Linked DNA regions of Caenorhabditis elegans. The protein of the gene in region 3 interacts with the protein of the main gene of each other region in a pairwise test. Each region holds a gene or a part of one and is shown on either strand. Other genes may lie near its edges. The genes, in order: eef-1G, unc-64, memb-1 and C15H9.4.

Region 1 (5,242 bases), on a different chromosome or scaffold from region 3:
ATGGGACTTTCTGACTCCACGTGACCTTTACGTGTCTACCTAATAATCATGGAAAAGTTAACTTATGAAAAAAGTTCCTGGAAATTTTAATTTCAATAATATCTAAATAACAGACACCGGATGAGCACTTTGCCACCTGCTGCTCACTTCTCGAAGTTGAATCATCTTGCACAGATTTATGCTCATATTCTACGTACTCATCAGAAGAAGTCAGTGCAGTGTTTCTTCAACAATCAGTGTGCCCAGTGACTGCAATTCAAAAGATTCATTTTTGTGCGGCACGAGGAACAAACCACACGGAATGCTGCTCCAAATCATTAGTTCCAATACACTGTCACTCTTTCTGCGATCAGGTTTGAGAGACATTTTACTGACACGCAATGATTTTTACAGAGTCAAGATAGTGATGTCAATAGCCTCTCAATCAACCATTTGCAATGTGTACAATATTTCAACGACATCAAATCTTGCTTTTTGGAACACGCAAATCAAGAATATTTCGAAGGACACATCGAGGACTATACGACGACCGAAAACGAAGAAACAAGCTTAGGAGCTAATTTTTAAATCTAAAATTATTTAGGAACACTTATAGACGAATAAATTCAATCTCAACTTGAAGAAGATATAATTTATTGAAGTGATACCGGGTCCTTTATAAACAATAGAAAACAATTTATTCTTTCCGACTCAGAGTAAACAACAGGATTAAATGGCAAATACACCGGGTTGTATGGAAACTCCAGTTTACTTGAAAATCTTTCCTTGGTTGAACTTCTTTCCTCCGAAGTCTCCCTCCCACATAAGATACTCGTTGACTTCCTTCTTGGTGGCATCGGACTTGGCGTCAAGCTTTGTCCAGGTGTACGATTCGTAATCAACCTGAAATATATTATTGTGAAAACTATCGAGAATTCATAAAATTGTTGCTTTCAGTTTAGAGGTAATTGCTCATTAAATAAACAACTCCAACGAGAAGAAGCACTTATATACGAAAAGTGTAACTCTGTATAAGTGTATCACGTATACAAATGACTACTCTTCGACATTCAAAATCGAGGAAATGGTCCTACCTGCCAGTCTGGGCTGAGTTCGAAGGCGAGCTTGTCACCCTTCCACACCCAGATTCCTGAGATGGTCGAATTGTTGTCGGTTCCGAAAAGAATCATGGAGGCGAAAGCATTCTTCTTCAACTTCTCCAGTCTTTGGTACATTCCATTGATAAGGTTACAGCTCATGAAGGCGAGAGTGAGATCTTCTGGGTATTTGTACTCGCACTTCCAGATGGACCAGTTGTCAGCATCGAAGTTCTCCCAGAAGTGTGGGATAGCCTTGGTAGCGGTGTCTTCGTTGGAATAAGATCTCTTGAAATTGTCAAGAACGAATGTTCCCTTTGGCATATCTTGGAATGGATCCTTGCTCTTCTCCTCCTTTGGTTCATCGTCCTCTGGCTGGGCAGCCGCAGCAGCTGGCTTGGCCTCTTTCTTTGGCTTCTCGGCCTTTGGAGCAGACTTGGCGACTTTAGCGCTGAGCTCAGTGAACTTGGCTTCTGTAAAATAAGAATAAAATTTAAACTGGGAATACAAAATCAGAAGTTTTTTTATAAAATTAGATTTCTTTTTAAATGTGTGGGACATAAACTAAGGTAACTTAGAATTGACTGCAGGACAACCCTGTAAACGACCAGTGCTAAATTTCCAACTCTCAGTCCCATGAAAAACGTTCCGAACAAAGCAAAAACAAAAACTGTTTCAAGCAAAGACGGTGTACATAAATCTTGATATTCCACCACTGTAACGCCTACTAATCGATTGACTAGTCTGCTGACTTCGCAGTGGAACAAAACAAATTCACACTAACAAAAAAGAAACTTACGGTTGAATTGAGCAACCGATGAGGCAAGGGAAACTTCTCCAAGAACCTCCTTAACAGCTGGCTGGTTAACAACGGTTCTGAACCAACGGGTGACGTTGACGATGGACTTTCTAGCGTTGGCATCAAGAACATACTGAAAATTAGGAGTGTATACATATAATCTGGGTCATAGTGTACTTGGAAAGCTGGGAGAAGATCAAGAGCAACGGAAACGTCGGCAAGAGAAAGACGTTCTCCAACCAAGTAGGTCTTTTTAACAAGAACACGATCGAGTACTTGGAGTTGTCCGTTGAGTTCATTCTTGTATTGTTCAACAGTCTTCTTGTCAAAGTTGGCTGCAGACACAGATGGAAGAACGTATCCGAGAACAGCTGGAAGAAGATAACCTTCTGCGAATTGAAGCCATTGGACAGTCTCGGCGTTAGCTGAGGTTCCAGTCAGGTGAAGTCCGATCGACTCAGCTCCGAAGAGAAGAGCATCTCCTTCAAATGCTGGGGTCTGAAATTCTGCACATTGATAGTTCACAGATCGTCAAATACTGACATCTAAATAAATTAAAACGTACAACTCCAAGTGGGAACTTGTCAGCTGGAGCAGCATCTCCGGCGAGGGTGACAGTCTTGTTGGCGAGCTTGGCAGCAATCAAAACCTTTTGGGTTCTGAAGTTGTCCTTGTTTCCATACAGTTTCTGCAAAATAAAAATCAATAATTGGTTAAATTTCGTCATTTCAAGGTTTGGCCTAATCATTTTTCAATGCAACGAACGGAAATCACGTTAACTATTCTTAACAGCACTGCAAATTTAATGAAATTAATTTTATAAACTTACTCCGGTCATGATGTCACCAACGAGTCGGAGAATCTAGTGAAGCGACGCTCAAAGAAGAGGCGCTTGAAAAGAGTGGTGTTCTTCAGAGGAAAAATACACTGAAAAGTCTGCGTATGTGCCCCTGGCAGAATGCCAGTACGCAAAACATAGGGGTTCTACGCAGTTCACTGGTCCATGGTTGCATTACACTTTTTTACCGCATTTCGGCGCCAAGAATCAGGTTTAAAATTTGCTCGCATTTTATTTATTTTTGATGAAAATAAATAATTTCACTCGTAATTCCATTGTTTTCAGATGAGCTTTACTAACGTTAAAAATTTGGAGAATATCGGCCTTCAAACTATCTGCATTGATGCTTCAGGAGAAGATACTGAAAATGTAGGATTTAAAACGATTTATAAACATATTTACCTGTTTTTTTCAGATTTACGTTTGTGATGCTGAACGAAATGTACTCAAGATCAATAAGAACGTGTTGCTGCAAGATGAAAAACCTGAAATAATCGAGATTCCCGATGCGACAACATCATCTATTGCTTGGTATGGAGAAAACATCTGTTTTGGTTACCGCAAGGTGGATTTCATTGTTGGATCCGAGCAGCAAATGGTGGGACGGGCGAAAAAGGGCAATTTCGAAGCAGGAGATATTATTGATCCTCTTGAATTCCAAATGGATGTCACAACGGTCGACGCAAACAGGGAAAATGTTATTGGAGGATCTAGCGATTATGCGGTTAAATGCACGAATATGAAAGATTTAGATGCAGAGCTGAAAACGAGAAGTCTTGAAGCTGAAGTTCTTTGTGTCAAACTGGATCCAAAAAATGAATTTGTGGCCGTTTCTACTGTGGATGGCAATGTGACTATTATAGACATTGATTCATTCTCGATTAAACACACACTGACCAAGGTTTTCCCAAGATTTGAAACAATTGAGTTAGTGTTTCATGTTATACTTCGGTTTTAAACAATGTCCTGTTTTTCAGTGTTTCACGACCTCGTATTCAACTCTCATGGTCAAAGGATGGTCAATGGCTGTTTGTTCCTTCAAAAGGATGTGTGAAATCGTACCGTCGAAATGGGTGGGAAGAATCTGGTGTATACCGTTTGAAAGATCATGCTTCTGTGGATTTTTCGGTTACTGCGCTTTCGCCGTGTGGGAAGTATCTTGCCTCCTCAACCATGGATAATCAAATTGCTGTTTGGAATAGTGATGAATTGTAAATTTAGGTAAATGTGTGAACTGATAAATAATACATTTTTTCCAGAGATATTGTGTGTTGTGAAAAATTCGTGAGAAATGCACCTGGTATCACTATCATCACTTCTATTGTTTTTTCTCCATTCTCCCCAAAAAAATTGATTGTCGCTGATTCAAATGTGAGTTTTTCCCTTTTCGAGCACTTTCAAGTAACAATATTTTAGAGAGGAATCTGTTTGTTTAATGTCTTCAAAGATGATTCATCTAACGAGAAGCCTGTTTCAAACAAAACTGAAGATGTTGCAGTTGATAGTGATGATGACGACTCAATCCTTTTGAATAGAACTTCACTCAAAAAAGATAGTTTATTCAATGAAGAAGCCATTGAAGAAGATGAAGATACCCGAAGTGAGGGATTGTAAATATAATTTCTCTTGATGTTTTAATTTTAGTGTCTTCCGATCTTGGAGCTATCAAACGACAATTCAATTATGGGAACCAAGATCTTGGAGGGCTTGAAGAATTCGGTTTTAAACTCGGTGAACCTGAGGAAATGCGACCGATGAGCTCGGACAGAAATTTGAATGATCCTCTCCCGCAAGTCTATTCTGATCCACCTGCTCCCCGAAAAGTTCTTATTCCTGAACGATTTGTATCTAACAGCTCTCCAATGGATCTCGACGCAACACAAAGGTTTCTGAAGTATAATCGATTCGGAATTATTCGCAGCTACGTTAACGAGGCAAATAAAGTTTCAACGATAGATGTAAGTTGTATAAGCTTGCTTCACAACAAGCGTTTTTTTTTCAGATCGAGTTTCACAATAAAAGCATCCACGGTGATATTCATATTGACAACTTTGAAATCAACTACGAACTCGCGGATATTTCGTTGAAGGTTGTTGCACTGGCAAGTGTTGAGAGCCGGAAAAAAGAGAAAGAACTTGACAAAGCAAACGACGACATTGAAGATCTTGAAACTGATGAACCTGCTAAAACAGAAAAGAAAGGAACTAGTCTTCTACATGTAATTCCAATTCAAGCATTCGACAGTCAGCGGTGGTCGATGGTTCTTCCTCGTGGAGACGGGTGTATTGATGTGCTTTGCTCAAATACTCAAGTCGTTGTGCTCACGAAAAAACGAAACATTCGAGTTTTCACTATTGGAGGAATTCAACGACAAATATTCACACATTTCGCACCAATTCTCACAGCTGCTTGCTTTGAAGACCGACTTGCAATCGCTTCGGTGTGTGGATCGGAATTTTATGAACAGAAAAAGACACCTCAATGGAGATTCGAAGTTGTAGAATATACTTTAAATCCAAAATCATGGTA
Region 2 (8,487 bases), on a different chromosome or scaffold from region 3:
ATGACGCCGGTGACAAGGATGCAAATCTTCTTCTGAAATTTAGCTTTAGTAAGAAAATTGCACAAAAAAAATATCTCAAAGCGATTCAGAAATTCATTATTGTTATTATTATTGATTGATTAATTAATTTTTTGGTTGGTTGGTGGTGAGTGAACAGAAAACACATGAAATGGGTGGCAAAAAAAATTGAAAAAAAAATTAAAATTTCTTACAGTAAGAAATTGGAAGGATCCTAAAGTTTTGAAAATTTGTAGAAAAAACAATTTTTAATAAATATTTAAGCTTCCATTTTGAGATCGATATTATTCTAATTTTAAAAAATAATGAAATAATTTGTAATTTAAATTTAATTTTTATATTAAAAAGAACTATTGCTTGGTCGAAGAGAACGGGGGTGAGATTTACGTGTGAAAAGCGCGCGAAAAGTGGGTCAAAAGGCAGTGGAGATACAAAAACAGGATGTATTGCGAAATAATTAGGCTTTTTTTAAAAGAAAAATAATATTAATTTGTTCGGGAATTCGGGTACTTTTATGATAATAAATCAACAGTGATTTTTGCCCGGTCTCGACACGATAAGTGTTTTTGTTAAACGCGAAAAAGTATGCGCCTTTAAGATTACTGTATTACGGGAACAGAAATTTCTGAGAATGCGTATTCCGCAAAATATTTGACGCGCAAAATATCTCGTAGCGAAAACTACAGTAATCCTTTAAATGACTGTAGTTTGCGCTACGAGATATTTTGCGCGTCAAATATGATGCGCAATACGCATTCTCAGAATTTTGTGTTCCCGTAATAAGTTAAAAATTTTTTTCCTCGAAAAAACAAGTTTTAAACTACAGTAATCTTTAAAGGCGCAGCACATTTCTGTATGGCACGCAACTTTGTCGTGTTGGGACCCGGTACTGTATTTGACTTGCTTCGGCGCAAAAATCCAAGATTCGGTAATATAACCTTGACGCAAGCGCACTCCACGGCTAATTGAGAACGCTCCGCCCTGAAACCATGGGTCTCGTGAGGAAGTTGGCGCGGCAAATTCGAAAATTCAAACATTTTCAATTACTTTCTATTGCTTTTATTGATTTTTAAAAAAATTATTTTGACAGCAAAAATATTTAAAACAACGAAAAACTGGGTGAAAACGTTTGAATTTCCTGATGTTGCCGCGCTAAATACCTAACGAGACCCAATTTATAAAGGCGGGACGTTTGGCCGTGGAGCGGGTTTGCACTTTGATTTTTCAAATAGTATTTTCTCCAAAATAAGTTGATTAATTATGAAAAAAGTACCTGATTGAAAGAAACTAAATAATAAATAAATTAAATATTTTTGATAATAAAAGTTTGCTCTATTTAATCTAATGCTCTAATTACAAAGATATATTTAGCCCTTATTTTCAGAGAAAACAAGCGAATTTGGTTCATTATTGGAGCCGTTTTTGTTGTCATATAGAATTTGAAATTTTGAAATTTTTTTAGCGTGGGCGTTTAGACGGGGAAACAAATGGGCTTAAATGCCAGGAATATACTGAATGAGCCACAGAGAAACGAAGCCGATTAGGATGGTGACGACGATCAAAATGATGATCTTCTTCTGAAAATAATGGACAAATAGGTTAGAGAGAAACATTTATGGTTTACGACAAAAAATACGACGAAAAAAAAAACACATCACAGGACAATATATGACAATCACAATAAAAAATACAATCACAGGAGGTCCACGGTCTGCAAACACGCTCTGCTGAGAACTAACAACAAACTTTCCAAAAAATGCAAGAACACAAAATTCTGAGAATGCGTATTGCACAACATATTTGACGCGCAAAATATAACTACATCTCGTAGCGAAAACTTCTGACTACTGTGGTGTCGATTTACGAGCTCGATTTTAAACTGAAGAGATTTATCGATAGAATACTAATATTAAGCAAAAAAAAGACAGTAGTCATTTAGAGAATTACTGTAGTTTTCACTACGAGATATAGTTATATTTTGCGCGTCAAATATGTTGTGCAATACGCATTCTCAGAATTTTATGCTCCCGTAATACAAAGACTTGAGTGAGAGAGTGAGACAACACAAAGTAAGTTAAAACATAATAAATTAAAGCCCCCATATGAGAAATTGATTTGAAAAATTGAACTCAATTCCCGTCACCAATATTAATATTTTCCCCGAATTTTGAAAGCAAGAGGGTTTAAGAAAAAAAAAATCAATGACAATTTTTCAGCGAACACGAAAACGTTGAGAAGACGTGTTCGATGTGGAGGAGCTTGAGGTTTTTGAGGGTAACACAACAGAAGTTGAAGCATTCGCAACAATAACCCAAATGACGACAGCAATGACGATGACGAGAATAATGACAACAATTAACACAAATATATAGCATTTCATCTGGAACATTACAGATGTACACCACGAATCACTAATACAGTACAATAATCAATTTTTGAATCGATATTTTTTTGAAAAAAAAATGCGGCGGCAACTTGAAAAATGGTAGATCATATCATTATACTTTCTAATATTTCATAAACTTTCAAATTCATAAAAAAATGTTGCGCGTGAGGTATGATGTTTGAATCATTTCCTGCCCGACTTTTGTGCCAAAAATACGGTTCCTACTCACGGCCCGGCAAACTGTATGAGTACGCAATTTGTCTACCGTATACCTGGACGTTTGGGCGCATCTATCTCAAAAACGGGTGGTCCAATATTTTTGTGATGCATAAAAATGTCCGAAAATAGATTCGAATTTTTTTTTGGACCAAAAGCTTTTTTCGTTATCACGCGCCCAAACCTGGCTACACTCAAATTATCAGTAGAGCGCATTTGCATGGATGTACCACTTGCTTACCGGGCCGTGTTGGTCTTGACACGACAATTTTTTGTTGAATGCAAAACTGTTGTGCGAAAATAAAAAGTTTCCGAAAAACTATGAAAAGTCGATGAAAATAAAAATACTCTTTAAAGGCACACACCCGTTTGTATTAATAAATTTATAAAAATTCTCGTGTCTGGGAATTTTAGAACCCACATTTTCCCAGCTGCCAGACACATTTTCTATCAATTTTGATGAATAAAAAACTCAATATAGGTATATCCATGCAAAATAGAGTTACAATATTAAATTTTTCCAAAAACGTAAAAAACGAACCCTTCGCGCCTTCGACTGATATTGAACGGCTTTCTTCGTATCAGCTACTGCTCGATCAACAAATTCTTTCGCGTGCTCCACATTGTACTCAATTCGATCAACCATCTCTCCCTGGAAAAGCTCAGGATTTTTCTTTAATTATTTGAATTTCCTCCAAGCTGAGAATTACACGACCAATCAGGCGGGGTGGGCGGACTCGAAGACGCTGATTGGTTGGAAAGTACCTCTTCTATTTTACCTTAGACTAGACATTAAGAAATTTGTTAGAAAAAACCTATATTTTTTTTTGAAAATTCAACTTGTAATATCAAAAATTCCACAAACCTGAGATTCGACAAGCATAGCCATATCCATGAACATGTCGTGAAGCTCTCGAATTGAACTTTCCAATTTCATGATATCATTGTGACGAGCTTCAATATCGGCTAGCGTTTGTTTTGCCTAAAAAAATTATTTAACATTTTTTGGGTTTTTTTCCAGAATTTTTCTTGGAGAATTGGAAGGACGCCTCCCCGCGCTCAAGGTTAAGCGTAAGCGTAAGCTTACGCTTAAGTCTAAGCTTAAGCCTCAGACTAAGCCTAAGCCTAAGCCTGAGCCTAAGCTTAAGCCAAAAAAAAAAACGAATTTGGAATAACTTTTGTTAATATTTTCAATTTTTTGTTTCAAATTTTAAATTAGAAAAAAACAAACCTGTTGGGTATCTGTGATGATTCCTTGTGTAAATACTCCCGGATTTCCGCTCTCAATCATTTCCTCCAAATCCTCATCTCCGACTTGTTTTCCAGCTGAAAAAATATGTAATGGATTATTAGAATTTTGTGTGAATTTTTTTAAAAACTGATCCAAAATTTAGTGGCACAGAATGTCAGGAAAAATTTTGTCCTGCCCCAGTTAGGCCTACACGTCTGCCTGCCTACCTGCCTACGATACTTATAATTCGACTAGTCGGTGTGCCTGACAAAAATTTTTTTGAAGCGTCCGATGTTCTCTGGGTTCGTCTTGCGCTATGACAGGTATACATATATGTCGTAGGCGTAAGCCGCCTTGTAGGCAGGTAGCAGACATTGGGAGCACCATGATTCAGGTGTGCTCCAAAATTCTAGATTTTTTTACTTTAACAACTTTTGCTTCGCAAAATTTCCATAAAAATGTTTTAAAAAAAGCTCACCAATATCGAGTTGTCTCTGAATTCGTCCCTTACACCTCTCTCGATAATCAGTCTGTGTCTTATTATAATCAGTCATCACTTCGACGAATCGTCTCGATAATGTGCTGTGTTGAGTTTTTCGAATTCGAAGATCCGCATTTCCGGCTCCTTGCTCGTCGTGATCAATGGCATTTTCGATCAATTTCAGTTTGCCGCGCACTTTATTCGCAGCTCTTTTGATAACTGCCATCAACTCGTCGAGTTCTTCTTTGGTTTCTGAAATTGTGGCATATTTTTGGGGGTCTCAAAAAGTACAATATTTTGAACCTTGTTTTATCCATTCAACAATTTTTTAAAAAATTTATTTTCGAAATTTTTTTAACGAAACTGTTTTAAAAAAATTCAATCTAACTTTGTTTATTTTACTGAGAAAACACGCACAAAATTTTTCCTGAAAGAAAAAAAAGAGTCACAATTCAAAGCTAGTTTCCGAAAAAATCGAAACAATGAAAATTTTCTTTTTTTTAACTTTTTAAAATTGTTTTCCAGATCTTTTCTTGGAGAATTTAAAACGAAGCCTCGCCGAGCCTAAGCCTAAGCCTAACTCTAAAAGCCTAAGCCTTGGCCTGAGCCTAAGCCTAGTCCTAAACCTGAGCCTAAGCGTAAGCCTAACCTTGAGCCTAAGCCTAAGCCTAAGGCCAAGCCTAAAAAAATAATTTTTTAAAGAAAAAAAAAAGCCAACATTTACAGGTATTTTTTCGAAAGATCTGGAAAACGAAAATTTTCGATATTTTTATTTTTCTGAAAAATCAATTTTCTAAAAGTTCAGTTTTTTAAAACATACTCTGATCGTTAACTGGATTTGATAAAATTGCCGAATGCTTCTTCTTGACCTCTTCAACATTATTCGCAATAATATCCACACTTCCACGAATCTCTTCAACCTGCAAAAAAAATTCAACTAAAGTGTTTCCATTTTCATCAACCCCAAACATTTTTATTTCCACAGAGAGCTCCTAGAACAAAATTCCATAGAATCTATATATCTCTATGAATTGAAAAAAAGGTCGCCGTCGGTTGCGCAAAAACTATGAATATTCAATCGCCCCCTCATGGGAAACAGAGACACCCGAAATGACACATATATAAAAATCGAGGCAAATTGACAAAAGAGAGCAACAAAAAAAAAGATTGCGAAATATGGGGGGGACGTCACTGAAATACATCACAAAATTGAGTTTCATTTTTTCTTGTTTCTCAACTATTTGAACAGCTTGTGTGATTGGTCATAGAATTTGCGAACATTTTGGAATTTGTTTTGTTTTTCAAACTAGTAGAATTTTTTGAAAATTTGAGAAGTTCAAAATCCATTTCTAAAATATTTACAGTTTGGAAATCGCTTTGAGAATGCGTATTGCACAACATATCACGCATATATGACGCAACATATGACGCGCAAAATATCTCGTAACGAAAACTACAGTAATTCTTTAAATGATTACTGTAGCGCTGGTGTCGATTTACGTGCGCTATTTTCTTTAGTTTCACAAGTAAAAATTTTTTTAATGTTTCATCGATAAATTTCGAAACCGAGCCCGTAAATCTACACCAGTGCTACAGTAGTCTTTTAAAGACTTACTGTAGCCTTCGCTACGAGATATTTTGAGCGTCAAATATGTTGCTCAATACGCATTCTCAGAATGTTGTGTTCTCGTTATATAATAGTTCAAAATTATCAACTATTTTTAAAAATTTTCAGATATTGTGGAATTCAAAAAAAAACATTTCGAGAATTTCTTAACAAAATTCCAATCCAATTAATTGAAATAAAGTTGAAGTTTAAAAAAATCTGAGTTTAAAACATTTTTTTGGCCGACTTCAAATTATTAAAGTGGACTTGAATGAAAAAATTTACATGTATTTTTTCAAAAAGTTGAACCATAATTTTTGTTTATTTCGACACCAATTTTTCCACTACAGTACCTGCTCAAAAAACTCCTCCATATATTGTGCATTCCCGGTGTCCATGTGCATATCATCGTCCTGCTCATCCTCGGACTGCGCCGCTTTTAAAGCGGACAATCTAAAATTTGTGCATCATTATCTTGATTCAAGAATATTGACTCACCTGTCCTTAGTCATGTTGTTGTTCCTGTTGACAGGTCTCGACACGAAAAGTGGTTCCTATTGTTGGACTGTCAAAAAGTCATGTGAATGGAAAGAGACAAGAAAGAGATTTTGATGGAAAGTCTGGAAAAGGAAAAATGAGAATTTAAAAATCGAATTAAAAGTTTAAAAAGGAGAAATGGGAAAAATATACTTTAAATAGAAATTATCAGATTATTAAAACTTAAAAAAAATTATATAGAATGAAGATTGTTAAAAATTGCACAAAAAGTTCATACTAACAATTTTCAAAAAAAGGGGAATTTTTTTCGAGTGGTCAAAACCTGGTGTTAAAAATTTTGGAAGTCGACCAAAATTAATGTTTTTCTATTATTTTCGTACTTTAGTGTACGTTTTAATTCGGCAATTTACCAAAACTTTGACTGAAATTTTTTTTGAACAAACTAAAATATAGACTAGACTAGGCCTTTTTTGACGATACTACAACTTTAAACAAAAAACATTTATATTCGAAAAATGTACATTTGATGACCAAATTTCATATTATAGTAAAAAATTCGAAAAATTATAGTAAAAAATTCGAAAAAAATCTAAATTTTTTGATTTATTGGGAATTTGAAGATTACCAGTTTTTGCCACTTATCTGGAAGTTGTCGATATAAAAAGTGTTCCTTCGAATTTTATGATTTACTTATGTTTCAAATATAAATGGTCGGCAGTGCTATTTTCTAAAATAAAAGTGGCAAAAAGTCAGTAATTGCCACTTTTTGGCTGACAATAAAAATGCTCAAAATTTTTTTGAAAAGTTTAACTATGGCATTTGAACATGACAGTGTTGTAGTTTTTTTCAAAAAGTGGAAAAAAGTTTTGAAAAGTCAAAAAAAAAAATTAATTAGATTACCCGTATTTCCTTTTGCACTTTACGTTAAAATTTTATATTTTTGGTTACATATTTCAAATATATCAATTAATGTATAACAACAAAACAATAGAGAAAGAGATGACAAATATTTTCTCAGTTGACAATTTTTTGTACAGGACAGAGGGTAACTGAAGTAAGTTTCAAGTCTAAAAAAAGAAATAAAAACGTGGTTACTTGTATATAAACTGAAAAGATAATAGGGCAGAATAGAGAATTCAAAGAAAAAAAAAGGAAAAGAGCAAAAAATAAGTGAGGCGGAGGGGAGTGGACGCGGGGGGAGCAGCACCGAATAGAAGGCGTTGTGTGTCTCGGGGAGCCGTTTTAGGAGCAAACTGAGTGACGAGAGAGAGAGAGAGAGAGAGTAGAAGAGATGAGGGGGAAAAGCTCGTCTTCTTCCCGGTGAAAGAGAGAGAGAGAGAGAGAGAGAGACCACATCTGTTCGATATATATGGGAAAAGCACGAGAGAGAGAAAAGGAAGAGCCAAAACGATGAAAGGAGAGGCGACGAGACAGTTAGACGTCTCACACACACACACACTCTCTCTCCATTTTCATGCTTTTGCGTGTCAAGGGGCGGGACTCTTTACCCCTATTTTTTTTCGCGGGTTTTCTCTGCGACTCTTTTTTTTATCCCACCATTTTTTAAGGAGTGAGACGGAGCAGAGAGGTGAATGATTTGGTGGGATTAGGGATCTGATCAGGGCAGTGGGGGAAGTTGTTAAAAACGACTCCTATGGTGCCAAAATGATTAAATTTCATAGTAAAAAAATTCGAATTTTTTTTTGAAAATTTCTTATTTAGTCAAAAAGTGGCAATTTCTGTTTTTTGCCACTCTTTGTTTTTTTTTTAATTTTAAAGGTGGAGTAGCGCCAGTGGCTCCTATGGTACAAAACTGAACAAATTTCATGTTTGAATATTAATATTTAGAACATAAATAGACCATAAAATTCGAAGGAATTTTTGTTTAAATTTCTGATCGACGACTTCCAAAAAAGTGGCAAAAACTGGTAATCTTCCAAATTTCAAAAATCATAAAACTTTTTGAAAATGGCATTTGGCCATCATAAACTGATGCTGTATATTTTTTTAAAGTTAAATATTTTTAGTTTAAAGTTGTAGTACTTCCAAAC
Region 3 (4,119 bases):
CTACCATTTATAGTCAAAAATAGATGAATTTTCGTAACTTTAAAAATTCATAAATCTGTTCAAAGTAACTTTTTTTGAAATGTCTTTCAGAAACTTTGTAGTAAATTTTAAGCTCTTTTAGAATTTACTAACAATATTTCAGTAGGTACAAGAAGCTTCACGTAGTTACAGAAATAGTACATTTTCAGCCCTATCTTTTAGTGCGTATTTCATTATTCAATGAAAACTACCATTTATAGACAAAAACAGATGGATTTTCCAAACTTTGAAAATTCATAAATCTCTTCAAAGTAACTTTTTTTGAAATGTCTTTCAGAAACTTTGTAGTAAATTTTAAGCTCTTTTAGAATGTACCAACAATATTCCAGTAGGATGTGTTTAAAAATCTGAATGAACACAAAATTTGCAACAAAATCGCTATGGGTATTTTCAAAACAGTTAATTTAAAGCGGAATATTAATTTTTAAAGTTTTGAAAATCCACTAACTTTGCATATGAATTGTCAGTTCAAATCAATTTCAAAATGTACTTCAAAATGTTTGACTGAAAATGCACTTTTTCTTTGCGGTTATAGAAGCTTTTGGAATTTAGTTTTCAAACTTTGAAAAAACCCCTTTTTTCTGTTAAAATCTACTTTTCTGCTCTGAATTTTGTCTTGTTGTTTTGCTATGACAAGTTTAATGAGACAGATTTTTACATTCAAAAGGCTTTTTGAAAAATTAACAAAACTTCCCATTTCCCATACAAAAATCATCATATATTATTCCAAACTGAAAGGAATATAGAGTCAACAGAAAATGGCAGGAAATTTGTATATGAACAAATAAATAAATAAAGATATGCAGGAAATGAAACAAAATAAATAATGACAAAAAAAAGTTGTCGCTGGCCAGCAATAGATATGCTATTGAAATCACAAAATACGTGGCATTTTTGGTATGTATGACGAGATGGTTGATAGTTTCGCATTCAACTGATTCTTCCTCATCCACGCCAGAATCGGTAAAATGCGTACATGAAGATGCAGCAGACAATGCATCCAATCACAAATAGGATCCAATCCTCACGAACACGCCGATCGATGACTTGAAGTGTCGAGTTAGAGAGACCCAACTCAAAATATGTTTTTAAAAGTTGAAATTAGAAATGTAACTTACAGCTTGGCCAATTTCATGCATTTTTCTCCCAACGCCGCGTAAATTTAAATGCTGGGATTTCAAGTTTTCGAGTACAGCAGATCCTTGACTTATCAGATCGTCAAGCTGCAATTATTGCTTTTAAATTCATTTTTTTCAATTAACGGAAGACAAAAATTTAATTTTAAGTGGTAAGTACCATAAACGTTATCTGAAAACTCACATGAGTGTGGGAAGATTGCAGGCGATCATTGAGAAGAAGCTCGTGGTCTCCAATTGAAAGCGCTGTATCGTTTGGCCGATATCTGAATTTCTAGTTACATACATTCAATGTTTCAAATTTTTGATCAACTTTAATTTACATTCAATCTACTAAATCTGTTACACAAATCAGAAGTGAGAGAACTATTTTGTTTTCTTTCGCAGGATTGACAAAACTTCGTTACAGCAAAATCCTTTGATCAAATGTATAAATTTGCAAATAATTTTAACAAACTTGTATACACCAGCGTTTTTATACCGTCCATATTTTCTTGCAGCAATTTAATCGTCTTTGTTTCGTTTGATAATTTGAGAAAAAAAATACTTACCGCGTCCTAAGAAGCTCATCTCGTTCAGTAGCAGCTCTCCATCTTTGTGTCATTCTCGTGTGTACTGCCGAAACGGCCATATCAACTCTGTGGACGTCGGCGCGTAACTGATCAACTCTCATTCGGGCCTGAATTTTTGAATTATTGATTTTTTGTCTTATTTCTTCCAAATTTTCTCACCGCTTGCCGCCTCGCTGGAGGTTCTCGAGAAACGTAATTATCTAATGTCTGGCAGTTTTCCTTCAGGGTTCTAAAAAATTATTTTAATATTCAAAAAAATATTTTAAGTCAGCTCACATGACATCACCATATATGCACTGTACAACAACTTGCGCATCTTGTTCGTTTTGAGTGCCTTCTAGTCGTCCAAGGTCATGTTGAACCTTCTGTAGAAGAAAATTGGTGCTTTGGTAAAGAGCCTCCATGGATAAACTGAAAAACTTTCAATTACAAATGTGAAATTCAAAAAAAAAATATCTGAATCCAAGAATAAGTAAAGTACAGATGTGTCCCCGCGTAAATCGAGGGGTGAGTCGTCGTACGCAAACACAACGACGCACAAGTGCACAGTGTGACGTCAACATAGAACGGCAATGAAAGAAAGGGGAGTAACGACGAAAGGAAGGAGGCATGTGTATAGATGGAGAAATAGTGTCAAAAGTGGAAGGAAAGAAAAAAAAAACGAAAAAGAATGGTAAATTGCAAACTTTGCTTGACATTCTGTAAGCTGAAACAGGGGTTCAAACAGTTTTTTTTCTTCCAAATTATTCCACGCATAGGTTCAATGAAAATCCTGCTTAAGAACTAAGAAAGACTGTTGTTTTTTATCTGACCGAGAAAAAAAAAATACCGAAATCATATGTAGTCTAGTGTCCAAAACTTTGAATGTGCGTTTATTATCGATACTGAGAAATTATCGCTTTTTTCTTGTATTTACTTATTCAATATTTTGAAATACTTCTTGTGCCTCAAATAGGTGCGCTAGTATTAGAACAACATATCTATTTTGAGTACAAACTTAACTTATTTGCTTAGCATTGCTTTTCTCCAAACAGTAAATAGGAAAAGTTTGCAATAAGAGAAGCACTTTTGCAAATATTATAAGAAAACGCGATTAGTTTCACTTTGAAACCTCCGACTTTTCTCTGATGTTATGACTTCTAGTTTCCAGTGCGAATGCTATGAATAATCCTATTATGTGCCACCTATTTTGTACTTGCATTCTTGCATATTTTTTTGGCGTTTCTTCCAAAAAGTCAAGTCACTCCGTCCTTTTCCCTTTCAAACTCAATTTCAAATTCTCATTTATTTTAATGGTCAAAAAAGAAGAGAAAACTCACAATTCTTTTTTTTTTCTCCGTCTTCGTCTTTAGGGAAAGTGTCAGTTTTGTTTTTGTTTTCCACTGTTTTGGTAGATAACAATGAAAAAAAGTAGAACACGGACAACAAATAAACTTTTTGTTTCGTGTATTTTTTAGAGTTCAGTTAAAAAAAACAATTTTGGAAGGATTTTTTGTTCAAACGTTCTACACTTTCATTAAAAATATATTATGGATTTCTTGTTTTTTCTTTAAATAAAACCATAAAAACAAACAAATTGAGCATTTTCCTCTGTGATCATTTGAAATGAGATTTTCATTGAGCCGGTGAGCCCACAAACAGCTGTGTGCTGTCTGCTCTTCTCAGCCACTGATACGGCTTTTGAAATGGCAGTTATTTTCGTTTTTGTTGTCTTTTTTGATGTATTTCTCTTTTTTGATGATTTGCTCTTTTTGTGGCAACCAATTTGCTTTGTGGTGGGCCCATCCAATTCCAATTTCTCACCACTTGAATTTCTAATGATGCAAAGAGAATATTTCTGAAGATGTATGTAATGTCGGCAAGTGTTTAACACATTTTATTGCTATTTGTTTCAAACGAAATATTATTGGACCCGAAAGTTTCTATTAATGGAAACTGTCAGAAGTTTGTAAGTTTTGTTTAATTTGTGTGTCAACTGCTCCATATTATTTTTAGGCAATCAATTTTGAACATACTAACTATTTTTCATTCGATGATAACTTGATTTAGTCAATTAAATTTCAAAAATAATGCACAATTAATTTTAAAAGTTGAGTATCAAAATTTTTATATCGGAATTTTTTTAGTGACATTTCAATGGTTAAATAAAATACTTTTTATATGCAGAAATATTTTCAATTTCGAAAAAGTTGTTCAAGACGCAGCAGACAGAAGTTAATTTTTTTAAACACTACGTACCTATAATATTTTGCATTTTTCAAATGTTTAAAAAATCTTTTTCTGCTGATTCAGGTGCAAATTACGTATAAGAAAATAACTGGTCACAATTCACCAAATTATGTCTATCATCCATGATATTTGAAAACTACGTC
Region 4 (5,369 bases), 3.3 Mb from region 3:
GTCATCTTGGATCTGTTCTGCTGCGCATTAGTCGCTTTTCCAATTGTTTGGTAAGATTTCAGATAAAATCTATTTAAAATATTTGGAGGATCATTTTGACTAGAAATTGAAATTAAAATTCAACAGGTTTTTTGAAATATTAACAACATAGAACAAACTGACTAATCAGAAAAATTGTACTAGGTTTCGTAAAAAAGATTATCCTATACGTATAACCCAATTTTGATAGAAAAATAACACTGATACTGGAAATACTGAAATTTAATTATTTTTTTATAAATTTTAGGTCAATTCAACACTTGGTAGAGGGAGCCACTACAGATGGAAAAGCCGCAGCCAATTTGGAAAAACTACGTTTATTTCGACAATTTTATATTCTCGTTGTCGTCTACATCTACTGCACGAGGTTTTTTGGCTTCATATTACTCGTGAGTTTTAGAATTATAACAATTAAACATGTACAAAAAAAATTCTTAGCTTCAAGCCAGCGCCAGTGGGAAAAGTGTTGAAACCCCACTTTTGTGGTGCCAAAATTCCAAATATCACAGTACAACTTTATACAATTTTTTTAAATTTTTGATATTTCGTTTCAAAAACTGGTAATTACTCAGGTTTTACTACTTCATTGAAGTGGTCGGTCAAAAAAAAAAACTACCTTTGGATTTTATAGTCTACGTATGTTTCAAACATCGGTTTTTAAACAATGTAAGTATAGATTGGGACAGTGCCAAAAAAAATGGCAAAATCTCAGTAAATGTCACTTTTTGACTATGAATTCAACATTTGTAAAAGATTTACTATGATATTCGGTCTTTTTGGTAACCTAGGAGCGTGTTCTAACAATATCGTCACCGGCTCCTACTCTAATTTTAATCATACATATGTGTGCATAATTATTCCCGTTCAGCACTTAATGCCTGTGAACCTCCAATGGACCATTGTCGCTGCAGTCGAAATGGTTACCTTCGCATTTTTCATCATCGTTGGCTACAAATTCCGGCCTGCCAATTCACACAATTATCTGCTCTTGAACTCGGATTTTGATAGCTATGATGTGGAGACATCGCCGAAAGAAGATAGGAAAGATAAAGAAAACAATGAGCAAGAAATTGATGAGCAGTGAGTCATTCGTTTTATCATCTTTGTGAAAAAATCAAAACCTTGAGTTGAGAAAATCTTGCAGATTCCTGACAAAAGCCTACTCAGATGCCAATGTGTCGAGGAGATTGGTTTCAGATGAATCATCAAACAACCAAACCGACTATCCCCATCAGAAACTTTTGAAGAAACCGTGAGTGGCTTTCAGTATTAATACATAACATTCAATAATAATCTGTATTTGTTCAGTTCTCAAACCTACGAACAATCATTGCTAGATTAATTATAATCCGTTACAACAACAACAAAAACAACAACGAGTTCAGTGCAAACGGAGGGAGGCTTATCAACTCAACCAACCAACTGTTTCGATTATAATACTATTATGGACAGGATGATCATCCAGACTTCTATCGCGTTCTACTCACTATTTTCAAACATTTTGCTTTTCAAATAACATTTCTACCGGTCCTTTCTAGATGCATGATAATGTGTATATAACTATTTTAAGATAATGATGAAAATTGAAACTGATTTTGAAATATGATAAAAACAATTTCAAATTCCATTGCAATATCAATCATTCCTTAGAAAATATTATCATCATTATCTAAAAACTTCAAGATGTATGAACTAAATTTTTTCAAACATATAGGTGAAAGTACACTGGCCAAAGTGTATAAATTCTAGTCTCCGCCTCCTTTTCCCCATCTCTAATCTTTTTTAGTTGTAACATTTAGTCCAATAAATTTCCAGTCGTGTGATGTGATAACTCGAGACTCCCTGTAAAAAAATATTGTTAATTATTTTTCATTCTATTGTGTACTATTTTCTGAACCTTCTGTGTCTTTGTGTGCTCTATGGTCATCTAGTGAATTCAATATCTTATAATTCATTAATGAAAAGAAGATTTTTTTCCTTACTTAAAATCCTTTGTAACATTGATATAACCTCATATTACAACATCTATACAATATTTCATGCAATTCAGAACGACAAACCAACTCTAATGAGGGATCGCCGCATTGGACAGCTGTCCGAGTTAAAAGGACTAGTGGTAAGAGAGGGGTGAACAAGCATGGCGAAAGGGGGTACGCATTATTGCGTGCGCGTGTTTGCGTACTGCGCGTATTAGCCATTGTCTGCCGACCACCCGGAATCCGGCCATTTTCTGTGCACCGCAATAGCCAATACCGCTCGATTATTAGTTTTACGAGCCAATTTGCTCTTTTTATAATCCATCTTAGCTGTTATCGATTTTTTTTCGAGTTTGTATGGTTTTATATGCATTTTTGTTTTGTTATTAATGCTATTATTATTGGGTTAATTGCGCAAAATAGTTTTCCAAAAGTTTTTATGTTGAAATAATAATTTCCTTCTTTATACTCCTTTTCTAATTATCATCATGGTTTTTTCTCTTTTATCTGTCGTTTCCCTCAAATTGCAAGAAAAGTGTTTTCTTTTTAATTTAATCACAAAATGATTATTTTTAAATTATTAAAAACAATATGATTTATGGTTCAATTTCAACATTCACTTGATGTATATCAATTTATATTGATTTTTCGCGTGAAAATATCTCAAAAGAGCTAATTGAAGCGCGGAAACTTGTTTACTGTGTTCTTTTTCTCTGTCTGATTCACCAGACATCACAATGCTCAGTTAGAAGGCAAAAACATTTTTTCCTCTCCTATATGCCTCTCATTGTTTTGGCCGTTTTTGGCCGTGTGGATTACTGTTTTACAAACTGTAGAATAGAATTTTCACACTTTTTTATTTTTCTTGATGTAAAAACTTTGATTTTGAACTGCAATCCGATAGGGGGAGATCTTCATTGAAAAAACGTTTTACCGCACTAGAATGTTCTCATAATTAATCAAACATTAACCAGTTTTAATCAACTCAAAAAAGTGGAACTTTACCCTTTGATAACAACTCCATTTCCGACTATGATGGTCAACGGTGCAATGATAAGAGAAACGTCTCCCCCTGTATATTGACATTTATGTGCTTTTTCAATTTTCCATTGACTACATATAAGACAGTAAGGTGGACAATAGGAAATAGTTTTGCTCTATTTTATGTTTTTGTTCACCACTTCCGTACCTGCAAAAAAGAATTCAGAGCTTGAAACCTTGCCACCTATTACGACCACAGTTTGCGTACAAATGAGTGTGTGTGTCCGTTCGCGTCCGGCCAATCCTCTCTTCGTCGCCTAGCCGTTTTTTCGCGCGCCTCGATCTTGATTTTCCGCGTTCCTGCAGTTTTCTGTGTTTTTCCGAAACTAGGCAAAATCAAAACGCGGCGCTCGATTTCTTTTCCATTTCCTGTTGACTAAGAAAAGAGTGTTTTAGTCAATCTTCCAAAGTGGTTTGATTGACATCGACGCCCCTATTTCACCACCAAAGCGTCTTCTTGCCCCCCGCTTCTTTCTTCCCTCATCTTTCAACCCTTGCCCCATAGATGGATGGCTTTTACATACTTTTGGAATACTTGCACTTCTCCCGCTGCTTGCTCTGTGTAGTTCAAAGTTGTCGAGAAGAACAAAAACTGCAAAAGGCATTTTCTTTTTTTTTTGCTTTTTCGCTTCATAGATCGTCGTCATGAATTATGTTTGGCGCGTTTGAGTGAGGTGTGAGTGCAAAGACCTTGAAAAACATTTCAATCGTTTTTTTCACAGATGAGCAGGTTGCCTATATATCTCCCCTCTCGTCAACTCGCTTTTTGTCACCATTGTTCTTTTGACCATTTTTACCACCTCTAACCTTTCGGGTTGATGTGTATCTCAATACTTTTTACGGTTGCGCCGCATTAGACCCCCGCGTTCGGGAGGAGGCTACCCCACAAGTGTTGACATACTCTTCAACGTTTCTACGTTTAGTTGTGCCCTCAATTTGTTATTTTGATTTCTTTTGGGCAAACATAACTATATTCCTTTTATTTGCCAATTTAATGTTTCAAAAAGTCGATTAATTACGTTCACAGCTCCCTTTACGAAATAGTGATGTGAATTGAAAATTTACTGGAGAATGAACTACTGGGTTTTAAACTTTGTCGTAATAAGTGCAAATAATTAACCGGATTTTTTTCTCAAAATTTGAATACCCGCGCAAATTCTTGCTGAACAAATTTTGTATGTTTTTTTTCCAAAAAACATTTTTTGTAGCAAATGAATTTAATATATTTTTTATAAAATAACCAAATATCATAATAAAACTTTAAAAAAATTTTGAAAATGTTTTTTATTTTGAGTAAAAAAGCTGTGAAAACTCAGTATTTATATATTTTTTCTATTTTTATTTTTTCAAAAATATTTTTTCATCCAGTTTTGTGCTTTGATTATATTCAAAATACTTATATTCAATAATTTCCGCATTGTAGAGATTATAACTTTTTACCGCTTCTGACTCGAAATAAGATTTTGTCCAAAGTTTTTTGATAAGTTCTATTATCATATTTGGTCATCATATATTATAAATCATGTAACTATATAAATATTTTAGGTCATAGCAAAAATGAATAGGAATTTCAAAAAAAAAATAAAAGCAAGTCCTTATTTGTTTTGCATACTTTTTCTAAATTTCTTTCAAGTTTTAGTTTTAATGTTAAAAAGTATAACAAACCGTCTAAAACTAATAATAGAGCGTCTTTACAGTCCAAACAAAATACGTGAAATTGATTTCCCGCCTCTTCAGACTTTTTCAAGCTGAAATATTTCGATCTCAACATTTTTGTTTAAATTTTGTAATAGCACAAAGTTCCAGAGTGCATTCTACATGTTTAACCATTTTTCCCCATTTCCACATTTTTCAATCGATGAAAAATTAATATAATGGCGTCGGATGAGACATACATTCTTTTATTTTCAAAATGTTCAGAAAAAAAGTTCCACTCACACCTCGTGATACAGTGACTCAGCCACTTTGAAATGACCAATTGTTAGAAAACTATTTAGTTGGTGGTTATAATTTACGTTTATATTTTAAATCATTTGACATGTTTCTCATTAAATTCCTTGGTAAATAATTTGTATTCCATCCATCACAATTTTCACAAGGACAAATACATAAATCATATTGTATTGTCGTATTAAGAAAGAAAAAAAAAACCAAATCTTGTTCGATTTTACTGTTTTTATAGTCATTCGAATGATGAATGATGGGTATGTAGGAAAGGTATGTACATAATATTACACAACTATATATTCCAAACTTCATTATACCGATAAGAAATTCAACGAAATTCTCCGACTTTTAGAGAAAAAGTTTGAT

Evidence for each region.
Region 1: the proteins of memb-1 (region 3) and eef-1G interact in a two-hybrid assay, tested with the Caenorhabditis elegans proteins (one large-scale study listed by BioGRID).
Region 2: the proteins of memb-1 (region 3) and unc-64 interact in a two-hybrid assay, tested with the Caenorhabditis elegans proteins (one large-scale study listed by BioGRID).
Region 4: the proteins of memb-1 (region 3) and C15H9.4 interact in a two-hybrid assay, tested with the Caenorhabditis elegans proteins (one large-scale study listed by BioGRID).

The regions. Positions count from the first base shown.
Region 1 is NC_003283.11:10,963,296-10,968,537, reverse strand, and holds eef-1G (putative elongation factor 1-gamma), read right to left. Parts: upstream 2,820-5,242; 5' UTR 2,714-2,819; coding exon 2,705-2,713; intron 2,564-2,704; coding exon 2,441-2,563; coding exon of another isoform or gene 2,419-2,440; intron 2,374-2,418; coding exon 2,053-2,373; intron 2,009-2,052; coding exon 1,876-2,008; intron 1,841-1,875; exon of another isoform or gene 1,623-1,840; intron 1,550-1,622; coding exon 1,074-1,549; intron 1,049-1,073; exon of another isoform or gene 922-1,048; intron 883-921; coding exon 748-882; 3' UTR 616-747; downstream 1-615. Other genes in the region: dbd-16 (DB domain-containing protein), read left to right, coding at 114-353, 394-567; ctf-4 (WDHD1/CFT4 second beta-propeller domain-containing protein), read left to right, coding at 2,999-3,082, 3,129-3,640, 3,691-3,924, 3,973-4,084, 4,130-4,313, 4,358-4,671, 4,716-5,242. UniProt on the Caenorhabditis elegans protein: Probably plays a role in anchoring the complex to other cellular components.
Region 2 is NC_003281.10:13,275,332-13,283,818, reverse strand, and holds the start of unc-64 (Syntaxin-1A homolog), read right to left. Parts: upstream 6,561-8,487; 5' UTR 6,451-6,560; coding exon 6,437-6,450; intron 6,392-6,436; coding exon 6,292-6,391; intron 5,253-6,291; coding exon 5,153-5,252; intron 4,585-5,152; coding exon 4,330-4,584; intron 3,947-4,329; coding exon 3,852-3,946; intron 3,603-3,851; coding exon 3,486-3,602; intron 3,273-3,485; coding exon 3,162-3,272; intron 1,596-3,161; coding exon of another isoform or gene 1,512-1,595; exon of another isoform or gene 1,479-1,511; intron 33-1,478; coding exon 1-32. UniProt on the Caenorhabditis elegans protein: Plays a critical role in several secretory processes, including cuticle secretion and neurotransmitter release, and probably assists in neuronal membrane maturation or the final stages of neuronal differentiation.
Region 3 is NC_003284.9:9,439,414-9,443,532, forward strand, and holds memb-1 (Golgi SNAP receptor complex member 2 homolog memb-1), read right to left. Parts: upstream 2,159-4,119; 5' UTR 2,152-2,158; coding exon 2,024-2,151; intron 1,977-2,023; coding exon 1,907-1,976; intron 1,855-1,906; coding exon 1,727-1,854; intron 1,442-1,726; coding exon 1,360-1,441; intron 1,263-1,359; coding exon 1,158-1,262; intron 1,114-1,157; coding exon 985-1,113; 3' UTR 666-984; downstream 1-665. UniProt on the Caenorhabditis elegans protein: Involved in transport of proteins from the cis/medial-Golgi to the trans-Golgi network.
Region 4 is NC_003284.9:6,095,558-6,100,926, forward strand, and holds the start of C15H9.4 (Transmembrane and coiled-coil domains protein 2), read left to right. Parts: upstream 1-2,085; 5' UTR 2,086-2,155; intron 2,156-5,369. Other genes in the region: C15H9.5 (GOST seven transmembrane domain-containing protein), read left to right, coding at 1-50, 287-428, 908-1,119, 1,184-1,291, 1,348-1,381.